Canis lupus familiaris: one gene and its partners. The protein of the gene in region 1 interacts with the protein of each later gene in a pairwise test. Links are inferred from orthologs where the notes say so. Each region holds a gene or a part of one and is shown in the gene's direction. Other genes may lie near its edges. The genes, in order: HTT, PPA2, SRRT, UBAC1, HOXC11, FEZ1 and RNF20.

Region 1 (3,951 bases):
GAACTAGGCCCTCCAGGCTGGGGGCACATTCTCTGATGTCCTTTCCCTGAAGGGGGGGGGGTCCTGTCGTTCTCCCCTCAGGGGCAATGCTTCTGTGGTGCCGCTGGGCTTCCCTTTATCTGACCACTTGGGACAACTGACTGGCGGTGAGAGAAGGTGGAGTTGTGGCCTGTGGGCAGAGTGGGATCGGGAGGGTTCATAGTGCATGCATCAACCCCCGTCCCTTCTCCCCTCCCCAGGCAACTCTCTCTGGGGCCAACCCACTCCCTGCCAGGCAGGGTGCCCCCTGATGCGCCACCGCCCTCTGTGGTCCTCTGCTGGCTCACTTCCTCGCCTCCAAGGAGTGGGGCTCTGGAGCCCAGGACCCTTCTCAGAGCCTACCCACCCTAAGCAGGAGGTGCCCTGCAGACCTCTGTGGAGCAAGGGTCTTCTCCTCCAAGCGAACCCGTTAGGGTTGGGCCATCATTGCTATGCGTGGCGCCTCTGGGGTCTAAGTGGCTGCTCGTGGCACCAGCCACAGACTCTGCGGGCTGCAGGCACTGACCCGGCAGGTTTCTACCGGGTGCCTGTCCTAGGCCCTCCCCTCCCCTCCCCGCCTCGCCGTGCCTCACCCCCCGCCCTGTCACCTCTGCCCCGCCCCCTGCCCCCCCCCCATCCTCTGCCTGGCGCGCCCAGCCGTTCCCGCCCCAGGTGCCTCACCGCCGCGCCCCCTGCCACGCCCGCCCTCTTTGTCCCGCCCCCCGCCCGCCCCCGTCCTCTCTGCCCCGCCTCACTGCCCGCCCCCACCCTGCACCCTGTGCTTTGCCCCGCCTCCCACCCTGCGCCCTACCTCCTCCGCTCCGCCCCTCCCGCCGCAGGTGCTTCCCCGCCGCGTCCCCTGCCTCGTCCGCCCTCTTTGCCCCGCCCCGGCCCCGCCCCCATCCTCCGCCCCGCCGGGCCCCGCCCCGCCCCCACCGGAAAGTGGGGCTGTGATCTCAGCCGCGCGGCGGTGCTGGGAGCCGAGCGGGCGGGCGCGGGAGGGGCAGGCGGCGCTTAGGCCGGCGCTTAGGCCGGCCATTGGCAGAGGTCTCCGCCCCGGGCTGTCAATCCCGCCGCCCTGGCCCCGCCCCGCCGGCGCAGCGTCGAGAGACGCACGGCCGCGGGGGCTGCCGGGACGGGTCCAAGATGGCCGGGCTCCTTGGTTCCGCTCATGTCCGCGGCCTCGAGCCCCATTCATTGCCGCGTTGCTGAGCGCCGCCGCCGGTCGGCTCGAGGGCTCGGGGGGCTGTCCCCGCGGGACGGGAGGCCGCCATGGCGACCCTGGAAAAGCTGATGAAGGCCTTCGAGTCCCTCAAGTCCTTCCAGCAGCAGCAGCAACAGCAGCAGCAGCAGCCTCCGCCGCCGCCACCTCCTCAGCCTCCTCAGCCGCTGCCGCAGGCGCAGCCGCCGCTACCGCAGCCGCCCCCGCCGCCCCCGCCCCCGCCGCCCCCGGGCCCGGCGGTGGCCGAAGAGCCGCTGCACCGACCGTGAGTACCGCCTCGCGGCAGTTCCGGCCCCGCGACGGCGGGGGGCTGCGGCGCCCCTGCAGACCCCGGCCCCGCGGCTCCCCGAACCCCGGGCGCGCACCGCCGCCCGTCCTGCGGCCAGACCCGGCCCCGGGGGTGTCTGCGCCCCTCGGCAGGCGGACTCGGGCTCGCCGGCCGCCCCCGAGGGCACCGAGGCGGGCACGGCCTCGGCCCCCCGCCTTTCCCGGCGTGCGAAGTTAGGGGAGGAACTTGCTGCTTTGTATCTGCACGAAACGGGCTGTGCTGTGGGCAGAACTTGGATAGCCGAGGCCGCCGCTTCCCTTCCCCCTGGGCGTCCCTGAGAGGAAGGAGCGCGGGCGCCGGACACCCCGCCGCGAGCCGGGCTTGGGAGCGAGCGCGGGGGGTGGGGCGGGGGGAGAGCGGTGACATCATGCCTTCAGGCCGCGGGGGCGGGGAGGGCGCGGGAGTGCGGCCCCGGCGCCGCGGGGCTCTTCTCTGCGCCTCGAGGCTGCCTTCCCGCATCCTCCCGAGGCGTGTCCGCTGGCATCAGGAGGAGATCCGCTCGCGTGTCTAAGCTCAAGCTGGTTTGCAGACCCAAGGAAGTGGTGAGCTGCTTAGAAGGTCATTATTAGGAAGAGTCGCCTGAAGTTTATTGCCTGTGTTCACTTGGCAATAAAAACAACCCGTTGCCGAGAGGGAGGTTCAGCGCTGGGGGAGGAATGATGTGCATTACACCAGCTCGGAGTTCGGCTTGCCTGCGGTCCCTGTGGGTGGCTCCTGTTTCCTTCGCTGGAGACGCCTGCGTGCTACTGTTTGGAAGCTAGGGGTCTCTGCTGCTCGTGCCTGGAGACCGCTCCTGCCGGCGGAACCCAGGTACTTTCCCCGGGCTCCGTGAGCTCGGGAGTGCGGGAGTGCTCGGCGGCGGTCCGGGCCTCTCTCCCCCGGCGTCTGGGTTTGCCATCTGGATGCGTGGTGGCATTTAATGAGGACAGTTTCCAAGGGGCAGCCCCTTTATAATGTCACGTTCAATTTTAGTAGTGTTTTTTTATTCTTTGTGTTTCTGACGTGGTCCTTGCCATGTCTTGAGAGTTCAATTAGAAAATGACTTGGGGAGTGATGTTGACTTGGCTGTTAGGATAGACTTTAGAAGTAAATTAATTTTTCTTCTAAGAGGTGAAAAACCTGTTTGGATGCTTCGAGAAAAAAAATACTTAAAAAATAATTTGAGTTCTTTCTACATCAGGTAATTTATCATCATAATTCATCCCAGACTTTTATTGGACTGCCTCTCTCTAGGAGGTAGATGTCATGGAAGTTCACACATTGCATGGGTCTTGTATAACAGGAAGCGTTAAGGAGGGAGGGCTTTGGGTGGGAAGGGAGACCTTACTGCTGTCACTGTAGGCTTGTTCAAATACTTGGTCAGTCTAAAAATGTGCCATCTGTTTCTTACACTGATTTGACAGAATCTGAATTTGTTTATCTTCAAAATATGGGTATAAAGTAGGTTTTTTTTTTTTCTAAAACTGCCCTTGCAAAAGTAGATAGATGTTGTTTTATTACCCTATTTTAAGGTCATATGTGATTGACTTATTTAAAAAGCGTAATTTATTATTTTCATGTAAATAGTACACTCCCATGATGCAAATTCTTGAATTACAAAAATATAATAATTAAAATGTCTCTCTTCCGTCTGTTTCTCCTGAGTACCTAACTGTGTTCCCAGAGGCAAGCTCTCTTAAACTTCTTCCTTCTGTACCCTTACAGATAGAACCCATGGATACATGAAGAGAGATTTCGAGTTATTTAAAATAGAAATATTTCAGAGTAGTAACTTTTAAAGCTTCCTAGCATGCTCTGAAATCAACTACATTGATGGGCCTAATAGTAGTTATTTTAAATAAAATACATAAATATCATATTTGTAGGCACTTTGCTGTTGAGAAAGTAGAAATTTATGAATTTTGAGTAACAGACTCTGCTTACAAGTTTGGATCCTGGCATTTCTGTTCAGGTGCTTCAGCTGAAAAATCCATTCCCCAAAGCAGGATTGTCCAAAAATGATTTAGAAAGTATCTGTTCTATTTTTATGGTTCTCTTCTGTTGTGTGGAGCTGTAGTGTCACAGCCATGCGTGGGCTTTAGTGCCTGCTTGCTGCTCAGCATGTAGGATGCAGGGATGCTGGGGTTGTGGGAGGGGACCGGCTAGAATCTCAGCAGGGCTGGCATGCAGGGGAGTGCCAGAGGTGGGGACGGTCCTAACTCTATTATGAGATAGTTGACATTTGTGTTTAGTGCTTTTCTTACTGTCCTTCAGATTCCCACCTGGTTTCCACCTGACTTTAGTTATTCATCCATCGATAAATATTTACTGAGCATCTAATGTATGCCTCTGTGCTAATAGTTGCAGGGCTGCAGCAATCAACAGATAAAGCTCTGCCCTTGTG
Region 2 (3,500 bases), on another chromosome or scaffold:
GTCCAGAGGTGATACATGTTGATTATTATGCTGCAAGTTAGCCATAAAGGTGGACTCCCTCAGTCCAGTGTTCTACCATTAATAAGAATGAATTTCAGTTTTTAACAGAAAGTATCTTGTTCCTTCACTTGCAGATATTGATGATGTTAAGAAGTACAAACCAGGTTACTTGGAAGCTACGCTTAATTGGTTTAGATTTTATAAGGTGCCAGAAGGAAAACCAGAAAACCAGTTTGCTTTTAATGGAGAATTCAAAAACAAGGTAAAGATAATGATCTTTATTATAAAACGTGCCTTGTGATGATTCTTTGATACTTTAGGTTTGCGAGGCTTTCTTAGGTGAATATTTGTATATAACATAACAAAAGTGCTTTATAGTGACTCTAAAGACATTATTTTACCTTGTGGTGCTTGTATGATACTTGAAGTTTGTGAGAGTTTCTTATGTGAGTATTTGTATATAACATGGTAACAAAAGTGCTTTATACTGACTAATATGTAAGGGCATTATTTTATCATATTTATTTAAAAGGATTTTTTTTCAGGAGATGTAAGTGAATCAGTAACACTTGATACATATGTGTATTCATCTCTTTATTGATATCTCCTTCATCTCAGAAAATGAAGGATTTCTATCATCAGTCTAACTGCAAATTGTGTATGAAGAAGAACCTTCCATTTACTATTCTAGACAGGAGAAAGTTACTTACCATAATGTAAATCCAAAGAGGGCTTCCCCCTTAAGTGTACATTCTACCATTTCTGACTTAAGCTGTTTAACAATTAGGAAAGCACTTGAATTATGTTACTGTCATAGGATTTTTCTATTAGAATACTACAAAATTACCATGAAGTGTTCTAATGTGACACAAATGGAGAAAATGGGCCAAAAACGTCAAGTCTAAGGCATAGAATATTTTTTTAAAAAGATTTTATTTATTCATGATAGAGACACAGAGAGAGAGGGGGGCAGAGACACAGGCAGAGGGAGAAGCAGGCTCCATGCAGGGAGCCCGACATGGGACTTGATCCCAGGTCTCCAGGATTATGCCCTGGGCCAAAGGCAGGTGCTAAACCACTGAGCCACCCAGGGATCCCTGACATAGAATATTTTTTAAAAAATTATCACCACTATATAAATTACGTTATGTATACCCCAACATTTAAGTGGGTACTCGTAAGTAACATATGTTTTGTAAATAAAATGAGTCATGTTAATGGAAACTTACAAGTTATAATAAATATTTTGCTATATAAGAATTTATTGCTTGACTTAGTATTTTTGAAAAGGCACATTAAAAGAAGCCTTAAGATTTTGAGGGGTTTGTCTAAGATTTATTCAATGTGGTTATAAAACTCTTATTTTCGATTGGATACTCTTACTTAAAAGTAAAATATTGAAAATTTATAAGATAAATTGTATTTTTATCTTTTTTTTCCTGTAAAAAATGTTGTATTTTATATTTGAGCTCTTTCTGCCTCAGGATATGATTGCTAAATCATGAATTTATAGAGTCAGGTGGTTTAGGAGTTGCTGGATTTTGTTTTTTTTTTTTTTGCTTGGTTTTGATAAATATTAATTCTTTCTGAATGAAGACTAGATCATTTATACAACCTAATTTTTAGAGCATAATCATCTTATGCATTGCTTTTTACCACTTCTGTTTAAAATACAGTGCCTATCTCAGGAAAATTAAGTTGTATCTTTTCACCATGTTTGAAAAGATGATTCCCGTGCTATCTAGATTTTTCCTCCTGACCTCTTTAAGCAAGTACTGGGAAAGTGATTCTAAATAATCATAATTATCTGAATGATTTGGTTAAAAATATTTTCTTATATTATCTGGACAATATTGTCTTTTTTATCCCACATCTTGGCTGGGACTCCCCAACATGACCTCACTGAGCCATACTTGTTCATCTCAAGCAACTAGAGAGCTGAGAGAGCTTTTTTTTCAGCAGTAAATTTCTCATTATTATTACATCTTGGTTCCTTTGGAACCAAGGATTTTCTTCACTTCTTAGCATGTGTTGTCAAGGAGAAAGGAGGTAGTATGAATTAGTTAATATATAAGGACTCTTATTAAGGAAAATTAGAAAATTAGCAATCTTTGGAGGAAAAAAACAAAAGAATATACTGCTTTAATAAGTGTTCCTTTAGACAGACTTAAGAGGTATATATTGTTGATTTTGCATTTGGGGACATTATATGAATTTATACCAAGAAAATATTTGAAAATGATAAATGCCTTTAGACAGTGGATACTCTAAAATTATTATGCAGCTAGATTGCAGTTTTGATGATGATGAAATTAATAGGTTTATGCTTACTTACAGGCAAGGGACTAGCCTAAGCACTTTGCATACAGCTTATCCTTTCAACAACTGGATAATTTATTTATTTTAAAAATTTTGTTTATTCATGAGAGACACAGTGAGAGAGGCAGAGACATAGGCAGAGGGAGAAGCAGGCTCCTTGAGGGGAGCCCCATATAGGACTCAATCCCAGGACTCTGGAACCATACCCTGAGCTGAAGGCAGACGCTTCACCAACCAGACATCCCTCAACTGCTGGATAACTTAAATCAGGTGTTGGCAACTTTTTCTGTAAAGTACTAGATAGTAAATATTTTAGACTTTGTAGGCCATATGGTCTCTGTCACAACTACTCACCTCTGCCATTATAGTGCTAAAGCAGTCATAGGCTGTGCACAAATGATTGGGCATGATTGTGTTCAGTGAACTTTATTTACAAAAATTGGTGGTGAGTTAGATTTGGCCTACAGGCCCTAGTTTGACAATCCCAACTATAAATTATCTTCATTACCTTCTATTTGTAGATAAAGAAGTTAAGACTTAGGGAGATTAAGTAATTTGCTCAAAAATCACAGCTGGTAAATAAGGGTGCCAGAATTTATACTCAGGTTTGCCTGACTCCAGAGCTCATGTTCTTAAAAATAAGGTGTCATAGTGAGAGTAGTTCCATGTTAGTATAATGATGTGATCTTTATGTCCGTTTTTGGTTTGGAACTAGGCTTTTGCTCTTGATGTTATTAAATCTACTCATGAATGCTGGAAAGCATTGCTTATGAAGAAGTGTGATGGAGGAGCTATAAAGTGGTAAGAATTTGTCTTTTCTATGTGATGTTACTTTGTTATTAATGCCACTAGACAGCCGTATTACACTAGTCAGATCTGATTTTTTAAAAAGAGAATTGCAGTTTTTTTTCCGTTAAAAAAAAAAACTTACAGAGTGCCAATATGGAAAGTAATACCAAGTGCTGCACACTATGAAACTAGGAATTGGCATAGTCCCATTTCCCAAGGGATTTATAGTTTAGTAGGGGATACTGTTGAGTAAAAAGACATTTTAATTATAATACACTGTGATATGTGCAAAGATGGAGTAGAAAAATTAGCATTTTTTAATATGCTATATGTAAACATAGTTATTTTAATTATGTGTAACTACCACTTCATTTCTTAACAAAATAGTAATA
Region 3 (2,839 bases), on another chromosome or scaffold:
TTTTTAAAAAGCAGCCAATACCATATCGTCTATGATAGGCACCTCTGGTCTTGTCAATGTCTTGTAGCATTGACCCCCAGTTCTTATACTCTGTGTCTGCGCAGATACTCCAGCTTCCAACAGAATGGACTGACATTAGTTATGGTTTATTGGCTAGGATAGAATAAATAAAAGATAAATAATGAAGCAGTATTAACAGGCCAAGTGAACCCTGGATTCCTTTCTGCTTTAGCTTCCTGGGCTACCTGCCTCAAGAGTTTTCTCTGCTTCACTTGCCATTCTTCTTTCTCTCTACCAGAGTCTGCCCTCCCAGAACCCAATCTTGAAGAATATCACTGACTATCTGATTGAAGAAGTGAGTGCGGAGGAGGAGGAGCTGCTGGGGAGCAGTGGGGGGGCTCCCCCTGAGGAACCCCCTAAGGAAGGGAACCCAGCAGAGATCAATGTGGAGCGAGATGAAAAACTGATCAAGGTACCAGCAAGAGCAGGCGGGCAGGGCCCTGGCTTGGGGCAGCAAGGGGGTTAGAAGAGTATGGTGAACTCAGATTTTTATTTCCCTCAGGTTTTGGACAAACTCCTTCTCTATTTGCGCATTGTGCATTCCTTGGATTATTATAACACTTGCGAATACCCCAATGAGGATGAAATGCCCAACCGATGTGGCATCATCCATGTTCGGGGGCCTATGCCGCCCAACCGCATCAGTCATGGAGAAGGTGGGCTCCCAGCTTCCCCATTTCTGATTCCCTTTGGTTTCCCTTTCTTCTCAGCTGCCTCTGGTCTTAGATCTGTTCTGGTAACGGTGCCTTAACCACCCTCTCTTTTTTTTTTTCCTTAGAATTTAAAGTAATCTTTATAACCCAAGGTGGGGCTAAAACTCACAATCCTGAGATCAAGAGTCACATGCTCCGACTGAGCCAGCCAGGCACCCCTTATCCCTTCCTTGTTTCTTGCTTCTAATTCCCTTCTCCACCCCACTGTTCTGTGTTCCCAAACCACAGTGCTAGAGTGGCAGAAGACGTTTGAGGAGAAGCTGACTCCATTGCTGAGTGTACGGGAATCTCTTTCCGAGGAAGAGGCTCAGAAGATGGGTCGCAAAGACCCTGAGCAGGAAGTGGAAAAGTTTGTCACCTCTAACACCCAGGAACTGGGCAAGGATAAGTGGCTATGCCCTCTCAGTGGCAAGAAATTCAAGGTCTGGGATGTTAGGGAGTTCTGTGTTAGAAGTGTGGGTGGAGGGGGTTGAGCCAGGAAGCCTCCTCAGGCCTGGGGTCAAATTGGCTCTGGAAATGGTGGGCTGGGAGGTTAATTATCCCTTCCACATTGGTTGCTCTGCTCTGACCCTCTTTCTTTACCCAGGGCCCTGAGTTTGTACGCAAACATATCTTCAACAAGCATGCAGAGAAGATTGAGGAAGTGAAGAAGGAAGTGGCATTTTTTAACAACTTTCTCACTGATGCCAAGCGCCCAGCTCTGCCTGAGATCAAGCCAGCCCAGCCACCTGGCCCTGCCCAGAGTAAGATACGATCCATGAGGGTCTGCCACATTCCCTCTCCTTTGACTATTGAAGGACTCCTGGTTCTTATATCCTGGGATTCTCTGAAAACTTTCTATCCCACTCTCAGGAAGTGTTTCTAAAAGCCAGTTGTCATTCCCCATCTCCCCCTCCCGCAGTAATTCATGTTCCTGTCCATGTTGTACTCCCCCCAGGCCTGACCCCGGGACTCCCCTACCCGCACCAGACTCCCCAGGGCCTGATGCCCTATGGTCAGCCCCGGCCCCCCATCTTGGGGTATGGAGGTAAGTATAGGGGAGATGTGAAAGGGCTTAGTAGTGACTGAGGGCTGGGAGAAAGGAAGCTGAACCCAGGTAGAATTGAGGTCACAGGTTTCAGCTCAACACTGATCTCTTTCATAGCTGGTGCTGTACGCCCTGCAGTCCCCACGGGAGGGCCTCCATACCCTCATGCCCCCTATGGTGCTGGCCGAGGGAACTATGATGCCTTCCGAGGTCAAGGTTATCCTGGGAAGCCTCGGAATAGGTGAGAATGAGCTAAGATGTTCAGACTTTCCTTGCCCCCTTCAGGCTCCCATTCAGAGAGCCTTAACTCTCCTCCCATCTTAACTCTTTTGTATCTCACAGGATGGTCCGAGGAGACCCACGGGCCATCGTGGAATACCGTGACCTGGATGCTCCAGATGATGTGGACTTCTTTTGAGCCATTTACTTTTCCTCACTCCTGGTATCGTCTAGAATTGTGACTGCCTCATCCCATCCAGCTGAGAATTTTTTTGTACGTCCAACCCTACTGCCAATAAAAGCACTTCCATAGTGATTGATTTATACCTCCCCAAATTCTCCCAAAGATTGGCTGGGGCCATGATTATGAGCTTCACCACTTTATTGATTCCAAGGGCCCAGGCAAGCTTTTTTATCTTTGAGAAAAGGGGATAGGTGAGTGTGTTCGGGGCCAGAGACTATCTCTGTTCTGGGACCCTAGTCTCAGTCCAGGGCATGCTGTTGATGTTGGGAGTTGCGGCTCGTCAAACACAGGTTGTAGAAGGAGTTGGGGTCAAAGGCTGTGCCCACTTCTCTCCATCCCACCCAGCCACCCGCCTGTAGTTCACTGGGATTTTTTGGATCACCCCAGAAGTGAGGGTCCAATACCAGAACATAGGCTTCCGTGCCTGGTCCCAGGCAGACTCCCAGCAAGGCCTTGGATTGTGCATCTGCATCTCCCCCAACCATCACAGGCCCCCCACCCCCTGCGAAGTGGGAGTAGAGCTTCTCCAGTTCTCCCTGAAGCCCTGCTCCACGGGGTATGTGACACAGGCGCCCC
Region 4 (4,208 bases), on another chromosome or scaffold:
AAGCAGCAGCAGGGAGCTCAATTTCAATACTCCTTACCGAACCCCGTACACCCAGGCAGTTATTTCAAGATATAATCAATATAAAGACAACATCGAGCATTTGTCATCGCCTCGAACTCTTGGAGATCTGCCGCGTATCTCACACTTGGAGCCCGTCTCCGAACGGACCTCCAAACCCAAGGGCCCGCGTGCCAGCGGACCGAGCAGGGGCGGGATGGAGGCGCAGCAAGAGAACTACAGCTCCCGCCGTGCCCCCGGGCTCTCCCTGTGACGCATTCCGGCGCGGCGGCGGGTGCGCCGAGGCCGCCGGAGAACCACATCTCCCGGCATGCTCCGGTCGCGCTGTGACGCACTTCCGGCGCGGCGAAGGCAGCGCGCCCCCGGCAGCCCGGCGGCGGGAGCCAGGCTACCGCTCGGCCCGCGGCAAGTGTCGGGCGGCTGGCCTAGGGGAGCCGGGGCGGGGCGGCGGCGGCCAGCGGGGGAGCGCGCGGGCGGCCTGGCCCCGCCCCGGTGACCTTCACGGCCCGGGCGGCGGGCGCAGGCCCGGCGGCGGCGGCGCGATGTTCGTGCAGGAGGAGAAGATCTTCGCGGGCAAGGTGCTGCGGCTGCACATCTGCGCGTCCGACGGCGCCGAGTGGCTGGAGGAGGCGACCGAGGACACGTCGGTGGAGAAGCTCAAGGAGCGCTGCCTCAAGCACGTAAGGCCGCGCGGCGGCCCCAGGCCGGCCCCTCCGCCCCCCGCCCCCCGCCCCCTCCACACGCGCTCCCGGGTCGTGAGCTCCTGCAGCAGCCTGAGGGGTGGGGCAGGCCGGGAAACTGAGGCAGGGGCCGCGAAGGCGCCGCGCGGGCCAGCCTCGTGGCCCTCCAGCAGCTGCGCCGGCCGGCCCTGGGGGCGAGGCCCTGGAGGGCGGGGGATGGGCGCCCGGGGCGCAGAGAGGGGCCTGTCCGCTCAGGCCGGCCGTCCGGGGCTGCCCGCTGGCCTGCTGTCGGGGCCGGGGCCGGGGCCGGGGCCGGGGCCGGGGCGGGCCGCTCGCTCGGCCTCTCGGGGGCGGCCACCGAGCGGGGCGCACTGGCCGGGGCCTGCCCGCTGCCTGGGAGGCCGCCGCCTTTCAGGGTTTATTCGTGGGGAAGGCGCCTCGTTCGGGTAGCTCCGTGGGTTGCTCACTTTTGGAGCTAGTTCCTTGGCTTCATCTCCGGAAACTTTTCAGCCGGGGCGGGGAAGTGGCCCTTGGGACTCTGGCTCCCGAAGGGAACTGCACCTGGCGCGATGCAGTGTTCTTGTCAGCCTTTTAGTGCGGGTTCCACATGCTGAGTTTGGTATTTATACGGCTGACAGGTGTTTTGTTAAAGGAAGCGTCTGCTCCAAGGGTGAACTCCAGGTTACGGTAGTAACTACCCACGGAGATCGTTGGGGCCGTTGAGTATGGTTCTGAGGAGTCGTTGTGTAACCGTCCACTGCAGGCCAAAGAGCGTTCTGGTGGCCAGTGCAAGCCCCCTTCTGGAACGTGCTGGACATCAGGCAGCCACCGCTGTCTTGGACTCACGTCAAGGAGGAGGGGGCTCTGGGCTCACACCCTCAGGCAGGCATGCAGTCCTGTCTTGTGTCAGTGCTTTCCTCAGGTCCCAAACCCCCAGGACAGCACCCAGCCAGCCGGCAGTGGACTCCCTGAGCGTCCAGGCTGTTGGGGGGACCTCTCTGAGCGTCCAGGCTGTTGGGGGCCTCCCGAGTGTCCTGGATGTTGGGGGCCTCCCTGAGCATCTAGGCTGTGAGGGGGCCTCCCTGAGCGTCCAGGCTGTTGGGGGCCTCCCTGAGCGTCCAGGCTGTTGGGGGCCTCCCTGAGCATCTAGGCTGTGAGGGGGCCTCCCTGAGCGTCCAGGCTGTTGGGGGCCTCCCCGAGGGTCCAGGCTGTGAGGGGGACCTCCCTGAGCGTCCAGGCTGTTGGGGGCCTCCCCGAGGGTCCAGGCTGTGAGGGGGACCTCCCTGAGCGTCCAGGCTGTTGGGGGCCTCCCGAGTGTCCTGGATGTTGGGGGCCTTCCCTGAGTATCCAGGATGTTGGGGGCCTCCCTGAGCGTCCAGGCTGTGAGGGGGCCTCCCTGAGCGTCCAGGCTGTGAGGGGGCCTCCCTGAGTATCCAGGATGTTGGGGGCCTCCCTGAGCGTCCAGGCTGTGAGGGGGCCTCCCCGAGCGTCCAGGCTGTTGGGGGCCTCCCCGAGCGTCCAGGCTGTGAGGGGGCCTCCCTGAGCGTCCAGGCTGTTGGGGGCCTCCCTGAGCATCCAGGCTGTTGCGGGCCTCCTTGAGCGTCCAGGCTGTTGCGGGCCTCCTTGAGCATCCAGGCTGTTGGGGGCCTCCTTGAGCGTCCAGGCTGTTGGGGGCCTCCCTGAGCGTCCAGGCTGTTGGGGGCCTCTCTGAGCATCCAGGGTGTTGGGGGGCCTCCCCTAGTGTCCAGGCTGTTAGGGGGGCTCCCCGTGCATCCAGGCTGTTAGAGATACACACCGGTGCTGGTCTAGTGATGTACATTTAAACAAAACAAAACAAAACTGGAGTCCTGTGTCCCCTTCCTGTCTGGCCCATCAAGGACAGAAACTCCTCGAGGGCCCTCGGGGCCTGTGTTTGCATGTCTAGAGCCAGGCTCCCTGCAGGCCCCAAACAAACGTGTGGATTAATGGAATACATGGAGATGGAGTGTCAGTCTGGGACTGCGTGGACATGGCCTGACACCTGCTGAGTCAGGGAGGGAGAAGTCAGGGGGTAAATTGGGATGGCATTTAGCTTAACTCACTCATTTACATAGCTATCATAATATTATTTTATGAAGGGGAGCAGGAAATGAGAACTGTTTGACTGATCCGCAGATGCTTGCTAATGAATTTCAGGAGCTCTTGGGGTTCATTAGGCAGCCAATTTGAATAAGATGCTAATTATTATCTACCTGATATTTATTATTCCAGTCGGGATTGAGGTGTGTCGTTTGGGATTTTTCTGGCACTCTCCTCCTTTAAATTGAGATTTTATTCCACTCTGCAGTCTTTCCAGGTGTGGAGGAGCGGCATAAATCACAGGACCCGAGAGCTGAGCTGTCAGCAAGTATTCCCACGTCTGTGCCTGTGCTTCTGTAGGCAGCCAGAATGCATTAGTTAGGAAAGAGAATTCTCAAGGTGTATACTTGAATGTCACCCTGGAAACCATCCCCTGTATGTCCCGCTACTGCCGGCAGTGAGGCTCACTGCGTGCCCGGGCTTCTGTTCCTCCTCCTTGCTTTGCCCTGGTGCATGCTCGAGCTGGCAGGAATTTTCCCTTCTTCCGCGAAGGGGACAGTGTGGATTTCTTCCGTACCCCCTCCACCCCATTTCCACGGTCCTCTGGGGAGTTTGTTGCTTTATTAATGAGTGGTATTATCTTTATAACTCTTAGAGACATGGATTGTCTCTGTTTATTTTCTCTTTTTGGGTATTATTTATTTTTAAAGATTTTATTTATTCATGAGAGACACACAGAGAGAGGCAGAGACACAGGCAGAGGGAAAAGCAGGCTCCATGCAGGGAGCCAGATGTGGGACTTGATCCCCGGACTCCAGGATCACGCCCTGGGACGAAGGCGGCACTTAACCACAGAGCCACCCAGGGATCCCCTCTTTTTGGGTTTTTATATAAATTGGGATCTTTCATGAAATTGCTGCTGTGTAACGTGGCACCTGTTAATATGGCCGTTCACATTTCTTAGATCATATGACAGTGTGTCTTTGGACGACACATGATATCAAGTGTGAGCGGAACCACCTCCTGGCTCTTCTGGGGAGGAAGCAGGTTCAGGAGGGGTCAGAGCCTCCCTGCCCTGGTGATGGGCTTTGTTGGGGCTGTTTCGCTGCCGTATTTTAGCATGCTCAGAGTGCTTCTGCTGAGAACAAAGACACAGAATGAAGTAATTGTGCACAGTATGGATGACTCATGCTTGCGTTGTGCTCCTGGCACGGTGTTGACATGCTGCAGAGTACAGTTTTTTTTTTTTTTTCAGGAACCATATGAGGATTGTTTTGGAAAATTGTGTTTCATAGACTGTATTCTGAACTTGTCAAATCAACTAGCCTGCAAATTTCAGAATTAGAAGAAGCACACTGAGTAATTCTGGGAGCAGAGCCAGTGTTGAATTTAAGACGATTGACGATTTGCGGGGGGGGGCGGTGTCTGCTGTCATAAAAGGTAGGGAGTGCA
Region 5 (3,657 bases), on another chromosome or scaffold:
ACCCCCTCCCTTCATATACTTCCTGAACCCTGACTCTGGGCATCTTTTCAGCCCCCAAGCTGAGGCTTGAGCCCCCAACCCAAAGGACCCCCCGGACAGAGAGAATACATGGCTCTCATTCTGATCTTTATCTGTGGGGTTTGAGATTTAAAAATCCACAGTGGATGTAGCTTTCTGCACATTGATTGACAATAAAGGCAGGCATGAAATATTCACCCAGGGCCACTCTCTCATACTAAATATTTAACACAACATTAGAGAAGGTTTTTCCCAGACTTCGCCAGGCACCGGCTGGGCGGCTGGCGCACTGCTTACCACTCGTTTATGACTAATCTGAGTCCCTAGCCGCAGGCAGCACAGCAAGCCAGACAAAGTTGGGACACTTGGCTTGCTGCTGGGCTGCCTCACCTTTGGAAAACTTCACACACTCTTCTGAGGAGTCTCTCCAAAAGAGAAAAAGGAGTCTTGACATACAGCCCTGGCCAAGAAAAGGATGGACTTCTTCAAACTCTTGTAAACAGGCACTGGCCCTCTGCGGGTTGGCGGGGTAAGAGTCCCTGAGAGTTGAGGGGGAAGGATTCACATCTCCGGCTGAACCAGGCGGTGGGGAAGGAGGACTTCATCCCCACCTCGGTCTTGGGTTCATCTCCCGGAGGAGGCAAGACCCCCCCACCTGCAGACGTGGGCAAGACCCACCTCCTACTCCTAATCCTGGGGTGAGGGTGGGGGGAGAAGAGGAAGAGCAGCAGCTAGGGGAAAAAAAAATACAATTACCCCCTCCCAGCCACCGCCCCCGCCCATCCCACCGCCCACCCCACCCCAACCCTCTCTCTCTCTCTCCTCCTTTGCTCGCTCTGTGGAATGGAGAGGAGGGGAGTGACGAGAGAAAAACGAATACAAATCTGCAATTGATTTTCATAATGTTTCTGCGGTGTTTGCAAACCAATCGCCTGAACGTCCCCATCTTACCTAAGAGAGAACCCCTCCTACGTCTGCGAAGTGCTCCGAACTGATATATGACAATATCTACTTTGGATCACGTGCTCGGGGAGAGAGACTAAGACGGATAACGCGTCATCTCGCCTTCCCAAAATTTTCCCCCCTCGCCAGATCGGGTCCAAAACCTCCATCTGGAGCCGGCAGGAGAGGAGAACGATGTTTAACTCGGTCAACCTGGGCAACTTCTGCTCGCCGTCGCGCAAGGAGAGGGGCGCTGATTTCGGCGAGCGAGGGAGCTGCGCCTCCAACCTCTATCTGCCCAGTTGCACTTACTACGTGCCCGAGTTCTCCACGGTCTCCTCCTTCCTGCCCCAGGCCCCCTCTCGCCAGCTCTCCTACCCCTACTCCGCCCAGGTGCCCCCGGTCCGCGAGGTCTCCTACGGCCTGGAGCCCTCCGGCAAGTGGCACCCCCGGAACAGCTACTCCTCCTGCTATGCGGCGGCCGACGAGCTCATGCACCGCGAGTGCCTGCCTCCTTCCACGGTCACCGAGATCCTCATGAAAAACGAAGGCTCCTACGGCGGCCACCACCACCCCAGCGCCCCGCACGCGGCCCCCGCCGGCTTCTACTCCTCGGTCAGCAAGAACAGCGTCCTGCCCCAAGCCTTCGACCGCTTCTTCGACAACGCCTACTGCGGCGGCGGCGACGCGCCCGCCGAGCCCCCCTGCCCCGGCAAGGGCGAGGCCAAGGGGGAGCCCGAGGCGACCCCGGCCTCGGGACTGGCGCCCCGGGCGGACGCGGGGGCCGAGGCCGAGGCCGAGGAGGAGAGCACGAACCCCAGCTCGTCCGGTTCAGCCCACTCGGCGGCGGCCAAGGAGCCGGCCAAGGGAGCCGCCCCCAGTAGGTAGCGGCGGCCGGGCGGGCGCGGGGAGGGGGGAGGCGCGGGGAGCGGGGAGCGCGGAGCGCGGAGCGGGGCGGCCTCGTGTTTTGGGTCAGTCCGGTTTTATGTGGAGTTTTATAAGCATTCAAAGGATTTTATTATAACCTACAAAGCCCTCTCTCCCAACGACTCGACTTTTTACGATGGAGAAGGGGTGGGGAGGGAGGGAAAAGGGCGCTTTGGAAAAGCCGGGTGAATGAGCCCCCCCCCCTTCCCCGCTATCTCTCCCTCGGTCTGTGAAATTTTTTAAAAGCGCCACCATCGCGAGCGATATTAACTTTGATCGTGAACTTAGAGGAGCGTTGAAGGAAGGATGGGGAGCCGGGCTGCCGGGGGTGGGGTGGGACGGAGGGGAGGGGTGGAGGGGGAGGAAGGGGAGGGCGAGGGAGAGACGGGGAGAAACTCGGAGAGGGGGAGTGGTGGTGGGGGGAGAAGCAATGGAGCAGAACCTGAGACCGGGGCGGCTGGGCTGCTCTGAAAAGCTGCTTTTTTTTGCAACGGGCCGAGGGTGCGTTCCGGGGCCCGCGCGGAGCCCCCCGGGGCGACGGGGAGGGGGGCGCTGGGGAGAGGCGGCTGCGGCCCGGCCCGGGGCTCAGCCTCCCCGCGCCCCGCGGCCTCGCGGCGCCGGCCCAGCCCGGGAGCGTGGAAGGCGCGGCCCGCCGGGCTCCGGGGCCCCGCGCGCGGCTCTCGGGAGGCCTCGGTGCCTGCGCGCTCGGCCCGCGCGCCCCTCTCCACTGCGCCCCGCAAAGCCGGGGCGGGGGCTCCCAGCGCCCCCGGGAGGCCGCGCAGCGCCGGGCCGAGCCCCAAGGCGCACCTGGCCGGCGCCCCCCCGCGCCCCGGGGCCCGGGGAGGGGCGGCGACCCCGCGGGCCCGGCCGGCGGGGGGTCCGGGGCCTGCGCCAGCCCCGGGCCCGGGCGCCGTCTGCAGGCAGGCCCGGCGGGAGGGCGGCCGCGGCGGGCTGGGAGCGGGGCGGCCCGGGTCTCACGTGTCTCTCTCCCCTCTCCTCGCATCGCCCCCTCCCCTCCCTCCCCTCCAGACGCCCCCCGCACCCGCAAGAAGCGCTGCCCCTATTCGAAATTCCAGATCCGGGAACTGGAGCGAGAGTTTTTCTTCAACGTGTATATCAACAAAGAGAAGCGGCTGCAGCTGTCCCGGATGCTGAACCTGACGGACCGACAAGTGAAAATTTGGTTTCAGAACAGAAGGATGAAAGAAAAAAAACTGAGCAGAGACCGGCTGCAGTATTTCTCGGGAAATCCTCTGCTGTAACCGCAGACCGGGCCCTTCTGGGGGCGGGGGCCGGGTGGGGTGGGGGGGAAGAAAGGGGAGAAATTATTTTATTTTATTTTTATTTTTTATTTTCTAACTCGCCTTCTTTCCGCGGGTGGAAAACTGGACTGTGGCCAGGGCTGGCCCCCACTGCTGGCGCCCGCGCTTCTCTCTGGAACCTCCTTCACCTTCCATCCGACTCGCTGTGGGACAGGGACGGGCCTGGAAAGAGGGTGAAGGGAAGTGTCTAACCCACGGCGAGTGGACGTGGTTGGCGCCAAGGCCAAGACTCTTTATTTAAAAAGAAAACACACCTCGCGACACTGTCTTGCTGCTCGGGTTGGGCGGGGGCGAGGGTAGTGGGTGCCTGAGCGAGCAATCCTGGGACCGAAAGCCTTCCCTTGCCCAGTGAGAAGATCTCTGCTAAGACACGGTGTCTGCCAGGGGGGACTTCCTGGGCTCCCCACCCCTGCCCCACCTACCCCCCGCTGCTGGGGGGCAGCTAAAT
Region 6 (3,500 bases), on another chromosome or scaffold:
ACCTGTCGGGGTCGGAGCTGACCGAGCTGCTGGACCAGGTGGAGGGCGCCATCCGGGACTTCTCGGAGGAGCTGGTGCAGCAGCTGGCCCGCCGGGACGAGCTGGAGTTTGAGAAGGAGGTGAAGAACTCCTTCATCACGGTGCTCATCGAGGTTCAGAACAAGCAGAAGGAGCAGCGGGAGCTGATGAAGAAGAGGCGGAAAGAGAAAGGTCTGAGCCTGCAGAGCAGCCGGATAGAGAAGGGAAGCCAGATGCCTCTCAAGGTACGTGAGCCCCCAGCGGGGAGAGGGGGCGCGTGGGGCCCGGCACTGGCAAGACGGGGACCGAGCGGTGACTGCAAGCAGGACCCGGGCACGCACTAGGGCCCTGACGACGGAGAAGGCACCCCGTCTCCTTTACTCCCCTCGAGGACCTCGGTCTAGCTGGGGAGACGGGTCGCGGACATCGGAAAATCCTTGCCTGTGGCATGTGCTCCCGAGGCAAGCCCTTGGAAAGAGGGGTGATGAGCCCTGAGACTCGGGGTCAGAATCCCCCTGCTCCCAGTCCTGCCTCACCTCCTCCAGGTGTCGGTGGGGTGTCTCAGGATTGAAAACTCTGACGCCTTACTGGTATGTTGACAGGGTTCCAACCAGCGGTTCTCGGTCAGGGAGGCTCAGGGGAATCATCCAAGGAGCTTTTGCAAAATACCTTGGCCTGGGCCCTGTCCCAGACCTACTGATTCAGGCCGAGGCTTGTGCATTCTGGGAAAGGCTTCCCGGATAAGGACAGTAGCTCTGCGGACGTTGTGTTCTCCTCCCTAAGATGCTTGTGGCGTCATCTGCCCCAGGTGGACCATCCTGCTTTATTCTCTGTACACCTGGAAGCTGGAATGAGGAAACCAGGGATGTGCAGGGGCCACCCGCTGCCCTGAGGGATGACGGAGTTAAAGAGTCTTTGAGACTCAACAGCTGGTTCTTGCAAAGCTCAGGCTTCCGTGTTGGCCTATGTTTTAGACCGGGTGTTATCTGGGACCCGGTGGTAGCCGTGGGTCTGGGTAGCTTAGGGAGGACACCGAAGTCCCCAGGGGGTGATGACGATGGGGCGGGAAGCACTTGTTCTTGAGCACCCCCCACTCTCCGCAGCGCTTCAGCGTGGAAGGCATCTCCAACATTCTGCAGAGCGGCATCCGCCAGACCTTCGGCTCCTCAGGAACGGACAAACAGGTATGAGCAGTTCCCCGGCTCCCAGAAACCCTCTGGGCCCCTTGCCACCTGGCTTCCCCCGCAGAACGGGACGTGGCGATCCCCTGGGATTATCCCAGCCCTCGGGCAGAGAGGTCTTAGCACCTTCTTGCACTCTTAGGGAGGGACACACAGTGTCTTTTAAAGGGTGAACTTTTTTCTTTTTTTAATTTCTTTTTTGAGCGGCTGCCAAGCCCTCAGGTTCAAAGATGAGTGGGTCCTGGCCCTGCCCTCACCAAAGGGCGTAACCTGATAGAACAGGCATGTGCATAAATGGATGCGTTTGAGATCGTGGACTAAGTTACCTGGTTGTATGCGTGTGTTAGACACATTCATAGCTGGATCCTAAGGGCTGGCATTCTAGCACCGCAACATGGGAAGTGATTTGGGGAACATCTGGCCCAATTGCCACATTTTGCAGGGGTGAGAGCTAAGACCCCAGAGGGATTAGGTCTCCTCTCAAGGCCACACCTCGAGGGGCCAAACATATGTCTTTGGCCTTTGGGTCTGGGGCTCTTCACCCTCAGCCCCCCAGGGTCCCCCACAACCTCCAGGATCTCTCTGGTACCCTGTTCTGGGGGGGATGATCTATTTGTATAAGCACCTCATATCCAGCAGAGGGAGCAAACCCAACGTCCAAGACCGAGGGCGGGGTCGAGGTTCTCTCCCCTGTCATTTTTGACAAAAGGGAGACCCTTGGATTTCGTATCACCCGGCACAGGATAAGGAAGTACCATCTCCCCTTGAAATGTTCCCTGCGCTCAGCCTGAAGGAGGCACAGCTCACCAGGACTCCTAAATATCCCCAAGCTTCTAAGCATCCGAAGAGTGTATTGTATGGAAGGGAGGGCTAATAGGGTTAAGTCTTAGTTTTAGAGATGTCCCCCAGAGACAGGGAAGGGGTCCTAGGGGTCCTGAAGCAGCGCTGTGCAGAGGATCGTGGGTGTCACTGAGTGTCGCCTTCGGGGAGCATGTTTGTTAGGCAAAATCACAGTCCGCATGCGGATGGCCGACGGATCTTACCGCAGAGGGGCCGTGCTTGTGTCTGAAGGCCTGTGTGCCGTGTTTGTCTCGTAGTATCTGAACACGGTCATCCCTTACGAGAAGAAAGCCTTGCCCCCGTCGGTGGAAGATCTCCAGATGCTGACAAACAGTGAGTTCCTGTCATCCCCAGCGAGATGGGCTGCTCGTTTCCCTCCCTCCCTCCCTGCCTGCCTGCCTGCCCCGCTGCAAGAGGTACCCCTGGGGTCTGAGGCCTCAGGTTTCCCCAAGAGCAGCGTTAGCTGGGTCAGCCTGTGCATCACGTTCCCCTACAGGGGACAAAGCCAAAGTCCTCTGTAGTGGCACCCAGAGCTGTCTTGTTTGCTCCCTGGTTCCCTGTAAAGGGCAGAGCTTTGCCAGGAAGGAATGAGCTGGGGAGAGGGGTCGGCGGCAGGTGGGGGCAGGACTGGTGTGCAGGCCCTGGCTCCCCAGCAGGCCTCAAAGCCTCGCCTTCTCTGCCTTGTCTGTCCTTCTGGCGGCAACTTGAGGTTTGCTTTGTCCCACCTCATGGCCCCGCAGCAGGGGGCTTGGTCTGCATTTTTAAGGAGAAGCAAGGTTTCTTCTTCAGTGGCAGTGGCGGTGGCGGGTGAGTGAGCCTGATTGGAAAGAACAGTCTTCCTTCCAGGAACTGACTGCCTCCTCTTCTCTGCTCTATTGTCAAATATTAATCAACACCCTGAGCTACGGGAGGAACCAATGTGTGATAAAGAGCCTTTTGTAGGCAAAATCTCTTTACATACATCAAACACAACAACGCCCCAAGGGCTCGGGGCACATGGTATTAGCCATCAGTGTCAGCCTGCATCTTTTAGGAAGAGAAAAATCCTAGGCCGAGGTGGCGAGGTGGCGTGGCAGCTCAGTGAATCCCAAGAACGCCCATCTCCCTGGCAACCGAGTGCCTCACTGAGTGACATAGTAACCGGGCCACCCAGCCCAGCGTCACCCTGCCTCGGAGGCAGTGGCTTGAGCTGGGGGCCAGCGCAGGGCCACTGGATACCCCGGGGGGAGGAGGGGCAAGAGGAGTTTCTTCTGTTCAGCTGAGGATAGATACCTGCAAGTGTCCCCAAGCTCCCCGCCCCCCCCCCCCCCCCCCCCCCCGTGCTATAAAGGTGACCAAACATTTTCATTTTTATCAATTTGAAGAACCAAAGCAGGCGGTTCTGGTAAACAAACCCTGCCTACATCCAGGGATACCGCGTCCTTGAGAATCTGGAATTTTAAATTCAAAGTACATTGGCTT
Region 7 (4,094 bases), on another chromosome or scaffold:
CTTCTGATCTCTGGAGAGTGTGGTGCCTGATACACATTGATTATAGGCATTCAACAGTGGGAAACTGTACAGTCATTTTTCATTCACTGAAAAGTTAGGTGCTAGGTACTAAGAGGCGGTGTTCCAAAATCACTGAGAGAGTTGTGATGGGTCACAGTCTGAGGCCAGACTTCCTGGAATTCACTCTCAGCACTAACACTTTCTAGCTGCATGGCTTATCCTCCCTGTGCCTCTTCTCCATGTTTATAAAATTTAATATGGTACCTACTTCATTGGGTTGTTGAGATGATAAAATGAAAGAGCCCCTGTTAAGGGTCGAAATGTTACCTTTAATATGTAAGTACTCCTCCATATATGTGAGCTATTAATAATAATTATTGGGCTAGGTATTATGACTATCATGGTGAATAAGATAGATACTGTCCTTGCTATTATGGAGTTGACAGATTCATTAGACTGTTCTACACCAGAAGCTTAGAGTAATGTTATATGTCCATTAGACATCAGAAGTTCACTATAATAAGTGTGGATCTAGATTAGGAGTCTGTATTCTGAAACTCAGCCATGGGGATATGGTGTTAAAATGCTACATTTGTATAGCTTATGAAACCACATCTCTTCCTTATTTGAATTAGGCTCAAGATGAAAGAGAAAATGGGAACATTCAGAGTAAATAGTTGATGAAGTGTCATTTCTGAGTCTGTCTGGGGTTCAACTACTCTGTACTGCTGCCAGGAGGTGATTTTGTCTTAACACTGAATCACGTTATGCATCCCAAGGACATTTGCTAATTCAGTAAATATAAATATTTGTTGAACATCTGTTATTTCTAAATACTATGCTTTACACTGAAGACAACCCCTGGACTTCAGTTTGTTAAGATGGCACTGCCAAGAGACCAGACTGTTCTAATATTTATGAGTGGGAGATGTGATGTTCATAGGGATAAATAGCCATAGGCTCTAAGGGAAGCAGACAGGATTCATCCCAGTTTGGACATTATCCACAAGTCATTAGAAGGTCTTAAGCAGGAGAGTAACATGCTCTGACTTCTGCTTGGAGAATAGATTATAGAGGAGCAAGATTTAGAGGTTGAAACGTTAGCAAAATTGTTCCCTTGTTCCTTCGCCCTCTTCTCCTTCCCATTATGGGTGGGGAGTTGGGACATATCTCCACTGATTCCTGCCCCAGTTGGTTGAAGGTTGCCTTTATAGGCAATATCTCTTCTTCTGCACTTCAAGGTTGCTGTAGTGAGCCAGCTGAGATTGTGGAACAAAAGTTGAAAAGATTCCAGGTGGCTTGAGGTGGGAACACTGCCTGTATGAATGGAGCTGTCCACCACGGCTGTGCTGAAGTCTGGGAGACTGACAGGACATGGCATGGGGAACAAAAGTGTCCACTACAGGAGACTGTTGCAGTAATCTTTTTTATTTATTATTTTTTTATTGGAGTTCAATTTGCCAACACATTGCAGTAATCTTGATGAGGGATCATGGTTGCATGGGTCACCCTGGAGGTAGTGTTGACAAGATTTGCTGGTGGAGTGGATGAAGTTTATGAAATCCCCAAATTTGTAAGTATAGACTGTCCACTTACTGAGCTAGGGAGAAGTAGGAGAGGAACATACTTTTTGGGAAGCTGTGGAGGATGAATCAGGAATTTGATTTTTGACATGCAAGTTTGGGATACTTATTAAACATCTGAGTGGGTAGGTGGTTGAATACTATAATCTGCAGTCTGAGGAGAGGTCGGGGTAACGCTGTACATTTGGGAGGAGGTATTTAAATCCATGAGACTAGAGGCTCTAAGCGAGTGTAGATACAGAAGAGGTTTGATTGAGAACAGAACCCTGAAGCGCTGTGATGTTTTCATTTCAAAGAGATGCAAAGAGACAGAAAATGAAGTAGATGGAGAACAAGAGTGACTGGGGGCCCAGAAGTCAAATGAAGAGAGTTTCAGGAAGGAGTTGTTCAGGTGCTGCTGATGGTTTGAGTAGGGGGAGCATTGAGACATTTGGTTTAGCAGTGGAAGGTTCTCGGGAGCCTTGATAACTGTGTTTATGGAGTGGTAGTGCTAGAAGTCTGATTGGAGTGAGCTGAAGAGAATAGGAGAGGAGAGGAATTAGAGAAAAGAGGGTAGAGACCGTGCTTTGCAGGAGTATTGATGACTTTGTCTTTGCAAGACAAAGAAATGGGGCATTAGCCACAGGGAAATGTGGGGTTTAGGGAAAGTGGTTTTGTTTTGTTTTTACGATAGGAGCTATTACAGCAGGTTGATTGAAATTATTTGGTAGAGATGATAAAGTTGATGAGGTAGTAGAAAGAGGAGATGGTTGCTGGTGTGAATTTCATGAATAGGGGAGAGAGCATGGCATGTAACATACAAGTGGGGAATTGGTTTTAACTGGGAGCAGGGGCAGTTGATCCATAGCAACAAAGAGGAACACAGTGATATGAGTTCAGTTGTAGGTAGGTCAGTAGTTGCAGTTATGAGAGATAGATGTGGACATTCTCTCCTGATTGCTTCTATTTCTTTTTCAGTGAAATCAGAGGCGACTCATCTGAGAGTGAGGATGGGGGAGGAAGTGTTGGAGGTTTGAAGAGACAGGAGAAGGTATGAAGTAGTCATCTTGAAGAGGGAATGGACTAGAGAGATCGAGTATTGTTGCTGGGCAGCACTGAGGACCTACCTGACTCTGTGATCATGAGATAAAGTGAGCCCAGGCAGCACGGTACTTTGTTTTGTGGTCACATTCAGCTGCATGGATGTAGGCCTGGAGTAGTGGAGAGGTGGATGATACCACGGGTGGGGTTTTTACCAGGTAGGTGTGGAGAAGGAGCAAGGAAGGAAGAGGTTCTAAAAGGAGATGATTATGACTGATCATGGAATTCAAGTTCAAGAAAGAAAGGGAGTGAGGAAGTGAGAGGAGTGAAGGATGGGAAAGATAGAGGACCAATGATTGTAGGTGCTGGAGAAAGTGAAGAATTGGAGGAATCAGGGAACCCGAGAGAATGAGCTGGACAAGTAGGTGGTAATTGTGGAAAATGGGGTGTTTGAAATTCAGCTTATAGAGAGCATACACGTACAGCTCAGGCTAAGAATAAGAATAACAGAGTTTGGTGGCTGAGGGAGGTAGAGGACAATATCATTGGAGGAAAGGAAGTCAACGACTTGAGGATTTGAGATACAGGAAAGATCATCTATATGGGAATTGTAATCAGTAAGAACCGTGATAGTAGTAGCATTGGAGAGTGATAAGCTAGGTACTAAATCTTAAGGAAACATGGGGAAGTAATCGGCACATTTATAGACCAGTGCAGGAAGGCAGGGTGGCAGGAGGATGCCTGCCTGTTTCTGGCCCAGGGCAGTGCTGGAGAAATGTGCAGGGAAACCGTATTCTCATCCTGGTTTCAGTTAGAGCAAGAAGGGGAAAGGAGGGCTCAGAGAAGAGGTTAAGGATATCTTTTATTAATGGTATTAATAACTATACGTTTGGAACTATTGACTAATTTGGCATATCAAGTGTTTTAACACTGGAAGAAGGAGAATAAAATGGAAGAAGGAGAATAAAAGCAAAACAGGATATTGGTGCTCTAATAAACAGTGCTTACTTTAAAATATTCATGAACTTCGAGGTAAAGTAAAAGTGTAATCCTTTCCAATCCTTTGTTTCTGTGCCAGGGTTCTCCCTCCCTGACCTCTACCTCCCAACTTGTCCTAGGGAAGAGGTTAGGGTGAAAAGTTAAAGATACTGAGAGAGGTGTGGAATTACTGATGGAGTGATATTTTTGCAGAAACAGAAGGGAATGAGATCCTGAGCACAAGTTGAGGTCAAGTATGGAAGATAGTGGAGATAGAAGGGATTGACAAGGAAAAAGGAGAGAATTAAAATCCTGGAAGATCTAGATGAGGATTGGTATATGGGGATAAGGGCACAAGGTATCTGGAAAGATAAGATTTTATTCAAGGAATTTAAGGTCTCAGTTGTGACAGAGTTACAGATAATGACAGAAGTCCAAGATATGGCCTTTGAAATGTGTGGCTGAAGCACAATGGGGGAGATACTCACTAGAGTTAAGGAATTCAGAATGCAG

What was found.
Region 2: the proteins of HTT (region 1) and PPA2 interact in binary tests that used the Homo sapiens proteins (3 or more experiments, as listed by UniProt). The link is inferred for Canis lupus familiaris from reciprocal best matches to the Homo sapiens genes HTT and PPA2.
Region 3: the proteins of HTT (region 1) and SRRT interact in binary tests that used the Homo sapiens proteins (3 or more experiments, as listed by UniProt). The link is inferred for Canis lupus familiaris from reciprocal best matches to the Homo sapiens genes HTT and SRRT.
Region 4: the proteins of HTT (region 1) and UBAC1 interact in binary tests that used the Homo sapiens proteins (3 or more experiments, as listed by UniProt). The link is inferred for Canis lupus familiaris from reciprocal best matches to the Homo sapiens genes HTT and UBAC1.
Region 5: the proteins of HTT (region 1) and HOXC11 interact in binary tests that used the Homo sapiens proteins (3 or more experiments, as listed by UniProt). The link is inferred for Canis lupus familiaris from reciprocal best matches to the Homo sapiens genes HTT and HOXC11.
Region 6: the proteins of HTT (region 1) and FEZ1 interact in binary tests that used the Homo sapiens proteins (3 or more experiments, as listed by UniProt). The link is inferred for Canis lupus familiaris from reciprocal best matches to the Homo sapiens genes HTT and FEZ1.
Region 7: the proteins of HTT (region 1) and RNF20 interact in binary tests that used the Homo sapiens proteins (3 or more experiments, as listed by UniProt). The link is inferred for Canis lupus familiaris from reciprocal best matches to the Homo sapiens genes HTT and RNF20.

Annotation. Positions count from the first base shown.
Region 1 is NC_049224.1:61,750,089-61,754,039, reverse strand, and holds the start of HTT (huntingtin), read left to right. Parts: upstream 1-1,151; 5' UTR 1,152-1,290; coding exon 1,291-1,505; intron 1,506-3,951.
Region 2 is NC_049253.1:13,629,372-13,632,871, forward strand, and holds part of PPA2 (inorganic pyrophosphatase 2, mitochondrial), read left to right. Parts: intron 1-134; coding exon 135-262; intron 263-3,034; coding exon 3,035-3,120; intron 3,121-3,500.
Region 3 is NC_049227.1:8,828,862-8,831,700, reverse strand, and holds the end of SRRT (serrate RNA effector molecule homolog), read left to right. Parts: intron 1-298; coding exon 299-472; intron 473-562; coding exon 563-716; intron 717-1,001; coding exon 1,002-1,195; intron 1,196-1,359; coding exon 1,360-1,516; intron 1,517-1,698; coding exon 1,699-1,800; intron 1,801-1,917; coding exon 1,918-2,041; intron 2,042-2,142; coding exon 2,143-2,218; 3' UTR 2,219-2,339; downstream 2,340-2,839. Other genes in the region: UFSP1 (inactive Ufm1-specific protease 1), read right to left, coding at 2,503-2,839. UniProt on the Homo sapiens protein: Acts as a mediator between the cap-binding complex (CBC) and the primary microRNAs (miRNAs) processing machinery during cell proliferation.
Region 4 is NC_049230.1:49,424,990-49,429,197, forward strand, and holds the start of UBAC1 (ubiquitin-associated domain-containing protein 1), read left to right. Parts: upstream 1-1,408; 5' UTR 1,409-1,423; coding exon 1,424-1,603; intron 1,604-4,208.
Region 5 is NC_049248.1:45,362,697-45,366,353, forward strand, and holds HOXC11 (homeobox protein Hox-C11), read left to right. Parts: upstream 1-1,148; 5' UTR 1,149-1,155; coding exon 1,156-1,840; intron 1,841-2,297; exon of another isoform or gene 2,298-2,388; intron 2,389-2,916; coding exon 2,917-3,149; 3' UTR 3,150-3,157; downstream 3,158-3,657. UniProt on the Homo sapiens protein: Sequence-specific transcription factor which is part of a developmental regulatory system that provides cells with specific positional identities on the anterior-posterior axis. Binds to a promoter element of the lactase-phlorizin hydrolase gene.
Region 6 is NC_049226.1:9,054,029-9,057,528, forward strand, and holds part of FEZ1 (fasciculation and elongation protein zeta-1), read left to right. Parts: coding exon 1-263; intron 264-1,121; coding exon 1,122-1,202; intron 1,203-2,296; coding exon 2,297-2,372; intron 2,373-3,500. UniProt on the Homo sapiens protein: May be involved in axonal outgrowth as component of the network of molecules that regulate cellular morphology and axon guidance machinery.
Region 7 is NC_049232.1:58,596,613-58,600,706, forward strand, and holds the start of RNF20 (E3 ubiquitin-protein ligase BRE1A), read left to right. Parts: upstream 1-1,294; 5' UTR 1,295-1,325; coding exon 1,326-1,417; intron 1,418-2,540; coding exon 2,541-2,613; intron 2,614-4,094. UniProt on the Homo sapiens protein: Component of the RNF20/40 E3 ubiquitin-protein ligase complex that mediates monoubiquitination of 'Lys-120' of histone H2B (H2BK120ub1).